2 linked regions of the Mus musculus genome follow. The protein of the gene in region 2 interacts with the protein of the main gene of each other region in a pairwise test. Links are inferred from orthologs where the notes say so. Each region holds a gene or a part of one and is shown on either strand. Other genes may lie near its edges.

Region 1 (4,177 bases), on a different chromosome or scaffold from region 2:
CAAGCACACACAAACACAAAATTAAAAACAAACCAAACTAAAATGATGATGATGATAATAAACACAGTTCAGGCTGCAACAATGAGCTCATGGGCAGCGGGCTCAAGAATAAAGCAGACAAACGAGCCCACCTTATTTGTATTTGGTTGTTCGGTGGGGCAGATGCTAAAGAATGAAGTCAGAGCCTCAGTCACCCTAAGCCAGCCCCAGACAAACCCCAGCCAGGTTCGTATACACTGAGCCATCAAGGGGAGACACACAGACCTCTTAAAGCATCTTCCTGGGAAAACTGAGCCCAAATCCTACCTAGGGTGTAGGTATTTCCAGCCACCCTCCTCTTGAAGTGAGCTGGGGAAGGCAGCCATGTATCTTTCTAAAGAACACACGAACAGCTACACTGTACATCTATCTGCTTAGGGTGTTTCCACTGCTCTGTGACCACAATACAGTTCTCCTTTGTATCTAATGTAAGCAGCAACTCTGCAGGTATGGACCAGCTTCCCCTCCCAGCAGCGGTTCTCAACCTGTGTGTCGAGACCCCCGGGGCGCACTTATCAAATACCTGCAGATCAGATATTTGTGTTAAGATTCATAACAGTTACAAAATTACAGTTCTGAAGTAATACCGAAATCATTTTATGAGGAACTGAATTAAAGAGTCACAGCATTAGGAAGGTTGAGAAACTGCCTTAGAGGAACCTACAGTGACCTGAATCATGTGGCAACTCATGGTTCCATACAACTCACTCAGTCGTTAGAACTCCACAGAGAAGGTCTGCCCAGTCTCCTGCCCCAGACTGTGAGCAAGCGCCCACTGCTGCGAGACACCGTTCCAAGCTCTGTTAACTCAACATTTTTTGTTTTGTTTGTTTTGTTTTTCAAGACAGGGTTTCTCTGTGTAGCCCTGGCTGTCCTAGAACTCATGCTGTAGGCCAGGCTGGCCTCGAACTCAGAAATCTGCCTGCCTCTGCCTCCCAAGTGCTGGGATTAAAGGCGTGCGCCACCATGCCTGGCTATGACAACATTTTTGAATCTTCTCCCCAAAGCCATTGAGGAAATGATACTGAGCCCCTATTTTCTCCTCTTCCTCCACCTGACATCCTCTCCATTTCTGTTTTCAAACAGAAGCTTACTATGTAGCCCAGACTAACCTCAAAGGTGTGATCCTCCTGCCTCAGCCTGCTGGGAATACAGGTGTGTAGGAAAACACCCGCTGACCTCAGGCACCAAGATTAAACAACCTGCACAAAGCCACAGTTATGGCCACACAATGCTCAACAGAAAGGGGGTGCACTAACAGACTCGAGGTTGAAGCACCATTCTAAGATAAAGAATGTCCCTGCTCAAGTTAAGTGACAGCCCCTACTGCACAGCTGTAGGGAGGGAGGGACCGAACCTGAATTCAGGTGTGAGCCTGTTATCAGAATTAAACTCCAATAGCAGGTTGCAACAGCTGGGTCAAAGCAAACTTGGCCTCTAGGTTTCCTTTTCACAACAGGGGGCGGGGGGAGGCGACTCCTAAAGACCCTGGAGTTGTTATGTCCCCACTTCCCAGCCAAGTTGTCACCTTACCGAGTCACTTTATGAGTGTCACAGAGGCCACTCATAAAACTTTGGTGGTCTAACTGCTCTATGTATCTCAAACCCTTTGTAACTTACATATCTATCCCCCAGTGCACCCTCGCCACAGCGGGAGTTGTGGGAGTTGGGGTGGAGAGACATAATACAGAACTTCCCACATTCTGGGCAAGTGCTCTATGCCGAGCTACCCCCAGCTCTTGACAGTCCCCTTTAAAACACGGTAGCCTAGCTTCAGCTGTCATTCCTCCAAGGGATATGACCACTTCTGTGCACACCTTTTAAAGAGGAACTGACATACAGAGAGCCATGTTGTGGCTCACTCACTGACGTGGAATTCCCACATCCCACCCCACAACAGAGAAACCCCAATTCCGGGTCATCCGCGAAGGCGGTCAACTTAATGCTCTTGCCTTATACTGTGTGATGTTAGAGGCGTGGGGGAAGTGTAGCGTGGCCACAAACAGGTGTACATAGTCACTGTTCAGTCCGCCCTCGTAAATATTCTCCGCGATGATCTTGCTGGCGAAGTTTTTGCCGGTGCCCGTCCACCCGTGCAGAGAGAGGGTAAGGGGCTTCTTGGGCTTCGGGTTGCTTAGGAAACCAGACACGGCGTTTAGGATGACTTTTTTTGCAAGATGCTGTCCAAAGAGCTTGTTATCCAGATCTTTCTGCAGCGCTGAGAAAGGAAAGATCACTCTGGTCAGGAGAGAAACAAGCTGGCAAAAGGCAGCCCCATTTCCAGGACGTCAGGGCCCGCGGAGCCTGGTTTGGAGAGCGCTGAGGGACCCTGGTGCTGCGAACTCTGCCCTTCCTCGGGGTTGGCCCCAAAGCCAAGCGGAAGAGGTGCCGTGAGGCCGCCCCGGAGAGCTCCGCGCAGGGCTGACACCCTACCCCGGGCCCCGACCACTCATCTCTCAGGCCTCCGGCCAAAGTCTGGCCTGGCAGCGGCGCCATCCCCCTGCCGCAGCATCCCGGACGCCTGGTGCCCGCCTACCCTCCCGGCTGAGGCTCCGCATCTGGCCGCAGCACTCGGCGAAGAGGCAGTAGAGACGAGGGTAGGAGATATAGGTGGTGAGTACGCCGGCCAGGGCCAGACTCAGGCTGATGGGCTCCACCGCACGAACCACGCACGGCGCCAGCAGCAGCAGGGCCAGAGCGGCCCGGCCAAGCTTCATAACCGGACCCGCGCACCTTGCGCGCCCAGCGCCCGCCCAGCGCCCACCGTACCCCGCGCACCGCCCAGACTCGTATTTCCGGTTCCTGCTGGCGGGGCCGCCCTCTTTGTCCGGGGCAGGCAGTCTACCGACGCTAGTGGCTACCATCTTTGTTAAGGGCAAAGTCCCTTCTGCTTCTGAACCTTGATGTTACAGGAATAATATTGAGATTATAGGAATCAGGTGATGATGACTGCTGCCCTATCCCCATCAAGTAACAGTGTTTTAGAACCATTTTTTTTTAATGATGGGCGGAGAGATGGCTCAGCGGTTAAGAGCACTGACTGCTCTCCCAGAGGTTCTGAGTTCAATTCCCAGTAACCACATGGTAGCTCACAACCATCTGTAATGGGATCTGGTGCCCTCTTCTGGTGTGTCTGAAGACAGCGACAGTGTACTGACATACATGAAATAAATAAGTATTAAAAAAGAAATGACGCAGGCACCTGCGTGCATGTGGTGCTCATAAACTCATGTGGGCTTACACACATGCATAAATTAACATGTAAATGAATAAATTTTTAAAAATGAGAGGATAATATAGTGGGTTCCCACATGACCCCCCCCCAACGTGCGTCCCTATCATTAAATCTGACAGGTGCGGTGGGTGGTGTGCACCCTTAACCCCAACACTCTGTATGAGTTGGGGCCAGTCTACAAAGTTTCAAGCAGGTCAAAGCTGCATATTGGATCTTGTCGTTAAAACAAAACAAAACAAAACAGAACAAAACTGACATTTGAGGGCTGGGTATTGTAGCACACACCTTTAATCCCAGCACTCTGGGAAGTAGAGACAGGTGATTGTCTTGGATATCTGAGTTGGAGGCCACCCTGTCCTATACAAGGAATTCCAGGTGCAGTCAGGGCTACAGTGAGAGTCTGACATCTCAAAAAAAAAAAAAAGAGGGATCTGCATCTCATACTTGTTAAAAACCCATGACCAGTATTTTTTTTTAAAGATTTTATTTATTTATGTATGTGAGTATACTGACTTCAGACACACCAGAAGAGGGCATCAGATTTCCACTACAGATGGTTGTGAGCCACCATGTGGTTGCTGGGAATTGAACTCAGGACCTCTGGAAGAGCAGTCAGTGCTCTTAACCACTGAGCCATCTCTCCAGCCCCATGAGCAATATTATTAAATAAAGCCCATAGTTTCTTACCCAGTTTCTTCCTTAGGGAACTGTAGGAATAATGTTATTGTGCACTGTATAAGGATTATCCTTGTATTATTCACATGCTGATTGCTATGCCCTCATATATGGTTGCTATCCTTATTTTGAGAACTGCCTGTCATCAATGTTGTGTAAACATTGCTTCCTAATTATTCAGATTGGTCAATAAAGGGCTGATCAGCCAGTGACAGAACAGGAGAGAGG
Region 2 (4,108 bases):
TGCTCCTTTTCAGCCTGAATGTTTACCCTGAGTCTTCCACCAAGAGAGATGCCCTCCTAAGAAGGTGGAAACAGTGTTCACAGGAGGAAAGAGAGGTAGATGAACCCTGCAACTGTGCTCCCATGTGCACCTGTGTCTCTGCTGGGGATAAGCATGTGTGCATGGGTGTCTATTCCTTCCATGAAAGTACTAGAAGGGATTTGTAAAGTTACAGCCAATTTAACACAGGGAAAGACAGAGAAAGGGAGTGTTGGCCTTCCTTTCAATGTGTACAGTCAGGCAGAAAATGGCACTAAATATCAACCTCTTACTGTTCAGCATGTATGATCTCTGACAGGTGAACTAAACAAACATTTCTGAAGTTCCTTAAGTCCCGCTGTTCCCACTGACCAAGTGATCCCTAAAAGGAGATCCACCAAAGAAGACTTGCTTTCTTTCTTCTATTTGAGGGTCAAAGGAGTTGTATTTTCACAGTTGTAAAATAAAATTATGCAAAACTATTGTTTAAAGCTTTATAATTTATTAAACTTAGCAGGTATTACCTATAGTGATGATGAAAGAAATCAAAGTCCCATGAGTACTTGTGGCTCACTTTCTTTCTTTCTTTCTTTCTTTCTTTCTTTCTTTCTTTCTTTCTTTCTCTTTCTTTCTTTCTTTCTTCCTTCCTTCCTTCCTTCCTTTATTTCTTTATTTCTTTGTGTGTGTGTGTGAGTGTGTGTGTGTGTGTATGTGTGTGTGTGTATGTGTGTATGTGTGTATGTGTGTGTGTAAGAGAGAGTGTGTGTGTGTGTATTGTGTGTGTGTGTGAGTGTGTGTGTGTGTGAGAGAGAGAGAGAGAGAGAGAGAGAGAGAGAGAGAGTGTGAGTGTGTGTGTGTGTGTGTGTGTGTGTGTGTGTGTGTTCTCACATAGTTCAGGCTGGCATCAAATTCTCTGTGTAGCTGAAGATGACCATCAACTCCTGGTCCTTGGGCCTCCACTTCCCAAATGCCACCAGGCTTACTGCCATACATGTCTTTGATTCATAAGCATATTCTTGGTTATTTTTCATGGGTTGCCAATTTTTAAAATTCAGTGTATTCATACACAGAAACAGAAAACCAAATAAAAAACCTACATAAATAACAAGATTAATGAATCTAAGGACAGAAAACATTGTCCCTGTTTGTTTCTGAGAGCTAATATGCAGGTTCATATTCTCTCACCTCCACACAGCTGTCACTCTTCTGAGAAGCTGTGATGCACACGAATCAGACACCACACACCAGCCACCCCAATTCATTAGTCACAGTGTCACTACCTACCTACATAGAGGACTCCCTCTTTTGTCTTTCCAGCTGCCTCTGCCACACCCTGCTTGGTTTTCTCAGCAGCAGCCACAACTCCCTCCTTGGCCTTTGAAAGTCCTTTCATGAACACATCCATGGCTAAAGATGTATTTTTGCTCCACACTAGAGAATACAGAATACATTTTGAATTAGAAAATTTGGGTAAAAAAATAATAATAATAAGGTTTAAAACAGCTAGAGAAAGAAAGGAAATTGAGGGGGAAAAATCAGTATGCCTTCCCCCAAGTCCTGGTGTAAGTGTGATTTCTTGGGTGGGGGGATGTGGGGGTGCTGGGCACAGTGTTGATTGATTGTTGAGTTATGTCACTCAATACTAGGAAAAAGTCATGTCACTTAAGGATGGGATGGATCTAGTTTGATCATTCGACTGCTCTTACATACATATTTCAGAAGAAGAGTTGCAGAAGGGGAGGTGGGCATCCTCTACCCCATCAAGTTCCCAGGGCCCAAAGGTTACATTCAAAGTAAAAAGACTATCTAGAAAAGGAACATGGGAGGTGGGCGTACAGAGATGGAGTGGGGGCAAGAGGATAAAAGACCCAGAGAGGAGTCAGTCTTTGGAGAAGGAAGGGAGGGGAACTGTTTAATCTAGAAGTAGGGAACTGCTTGAAGCCCAGCCTTTCTAATCTTGCAAGACCTTCTGCCCACCACTAGCTCTTTGCCTGCTATCTGCCCAGAGCAGGCGCTGTCCATACACTTGAGCAGTCTCACTTGAGCACCACCCAACCAAGAAGCTCTGTCCTCAGCTGGAATCCTCTAGAAGACCCTGCACCCCATGCTCATTAACCCTTTATCACCTGTTGCCTACTGTCCTCTGCACTTCTATTAATCATGGGCCAAAGGCACCCTTCTTCCTCTACAGAAAGAAGCTGAAATGCCTGGGGTTGGAGCATGAAAGTTGGATGCTCAAATTCCACCCAATGCCCAGCACTAAGCTTCCACCATCCAGCACTCAACATGAAACACCCTAGCGTTTCCGCTTGAAAAAGCAGATGCCACAGGCAACCTGGCCTTTCCCTCGGGCTTTGACAGGATGGAAGGGCATGTCTCCAGCGAAAGGAAAGCCGAGTGATGTACTTTCCACGCACTGGCCCAGTCCCCACCGCCAAAGCAGCTGTAGTTGGTCTTCTCTAGGCGTCCCGGCTCTTTGCTCCGGCTAGCTAAGATCCCCAGAGCTGCCCCATCTACAGGTACTTACCGGCTCCCTAGGCTTCTGAAGAACTCCGATTCTTCCTGTTTTCCCCAATCTAATTTCAATGAAAGAGGCAAGGGCAGGCAGGGGCAGGGGGAACACCTGCTGGTCTCCTGCCGTCTGCTGCCTGCTGCCGGGCGCTCTGGCTCCCTGGCTCCTTCACGTCGCCCCCGCAGCTGATTTGTCAGCGCCTCTCCCCGCCCCTCGCCTGCCTCGTGCCTTCGCTCCTCTTCCTAGGGAGGGGACGGGTTGGTTGGAGGTGCGGTGCGTGAGGGCTGTGGGTATCTGGAGCACATTCCCCCGGATGGAAGGAAGAGAGGACGGCCTGAGCCTCCCCTCGAGTTCAGAGGGCCCTCAGTTTTATCGTGGCTGAACTTGAGCTGGCGCCTCTCCTGCCCCACCCCCCTCCTTCCCTGCCTCAGTCTGTTCCCAGTTCCTCTAGGCGACCCCCTCCTCCAGGACGAGCCCAGATGCCACACCAGAGAGCTGGACCGCCTGAAATGGTCTGTGTGCGGAGCCAGGCAATGGAGAGGGAGCACACACCCTTGGGGTTGCTTTTGTTCACACAGCTTAAGATTTCCATTTGTTTTTACCCCGGAGGAGTCTAAAAGGGTTCTGGGTGCAAAGGGGAGCCGACTAAGGAAGAGTTACAGGTCGAAGAAGCAGGGGGAGGCTCAGCAAATCCTCATTCCCACTCCACTATCACCATTTTCTTTTCCACCAATCAGCGGCTGCCAGACGCTGATTTTTTTTTCCCCATCTGTGGAGCAAGGAATAAATATCCCCCAACCGTCGAAAACCAGCTGCCTCAAGGCTTTTTTGCACTTGAGAAAGTGGCTTACTATAGAGTTACAGGATAGGAAGGTAGCGGCTGTGGGATTCACCCTCTGGGACCATCACAGGCAGTTTCTTCCTTAGTCCCTACTTAATGGCAGATTTTGCACACCTCTTACCTTTCCGACTTCTGGCTGCGTGGAGCTCCAGCGAACAGACTCTTCTTCCAATCCAAGCACACGCGCAGATAGATGCACAGGCTTTGAGACAATTTCTGTGTTACTTAACACGTTCCCACTTCTCTCTGAGATGAGCAGAATACCACTGTTTTATAGCAGAGTGGATTTGAGTGCCAAGCTCCTCCCCCAGCAGAGTGCCTTGCTTTTCCTTTCTTGTATTCTGAACTTGTGTTGGGCACTGGAAGCTAAATCAAGCGTTTACTGTATTAAAAGGGGGGGGGGGTCGTAGGAGGGAATGCTTTCTCTGATCCTTGAAGTCAGTTGACTTCTGAATCCTGAAAAATAAATAAATAAATAAATAAATAAATAAATAAATTGAAGTCTAAAAAAGCATTTGAAACAAGGGACAAGCAGCTTGTTTGGCATGCTATAAAGGAAGGAGGCAGATAAAACCACAAATGCAGAGTACAAGTAATGTGACAGAAATTAACTGTTTAAGCAACGCCTTCAATTCTTATTCCCTTTAAAAATCAACCTTCCTACACACTAGTGGCACATACCATGTTTACTTGAAATTAAAGGAAAAGGTGGCACCTCTGCAGTAGATAGGGTTAGA

The links.
Region 1: the proteins of Snca (region 2) and Tor1a interact in a two-hybrid assay, tested with the Homo sapiens proteins (2 studies listed by BioGRID, with this or other methods). The link is inferred for Mus musculus from reciprocal best matches to the Homo sapiens genes SNCA and TOR1A.

What each region holds. Positions count from the first base shown.
Region 1 is NC_000068.7:30,965,099-30,969,275, forward strand, and holds the start of Tor1a (torsin-1A precursor), read right to left. Parts: upstream 2,821-4,177; 5' UTR 2,757-2,820; coding exon 2,576-2,756; intron 2,258-2,575; coding exon 1,992-2,257; intron 1-1,991. UniProt on the Homo sapiens protein: Protein with chaperone functions important for the control of protein folding, processing, stability and localization as well as for the reduction of misfolded protein aggregates.
Region 2 is NC_000072.6:60,826,179-60,830,286, forward strand, and holds the start of Snca (alpha-synuclein), read right to left. Parts: upstream 2,827-4,108; 5' UTR 2,546-2,826; intron 1,450-2,545; 5' UTR 1,424-1,449; coding exon 1,303-1,423; intron 1-1,302. UniProt on the Homo sapiens protein: Neuronal protein that plays several roles in synaptic activity such as regulation of synaptic vesicle trafficking and subsequent neurotransmitter release.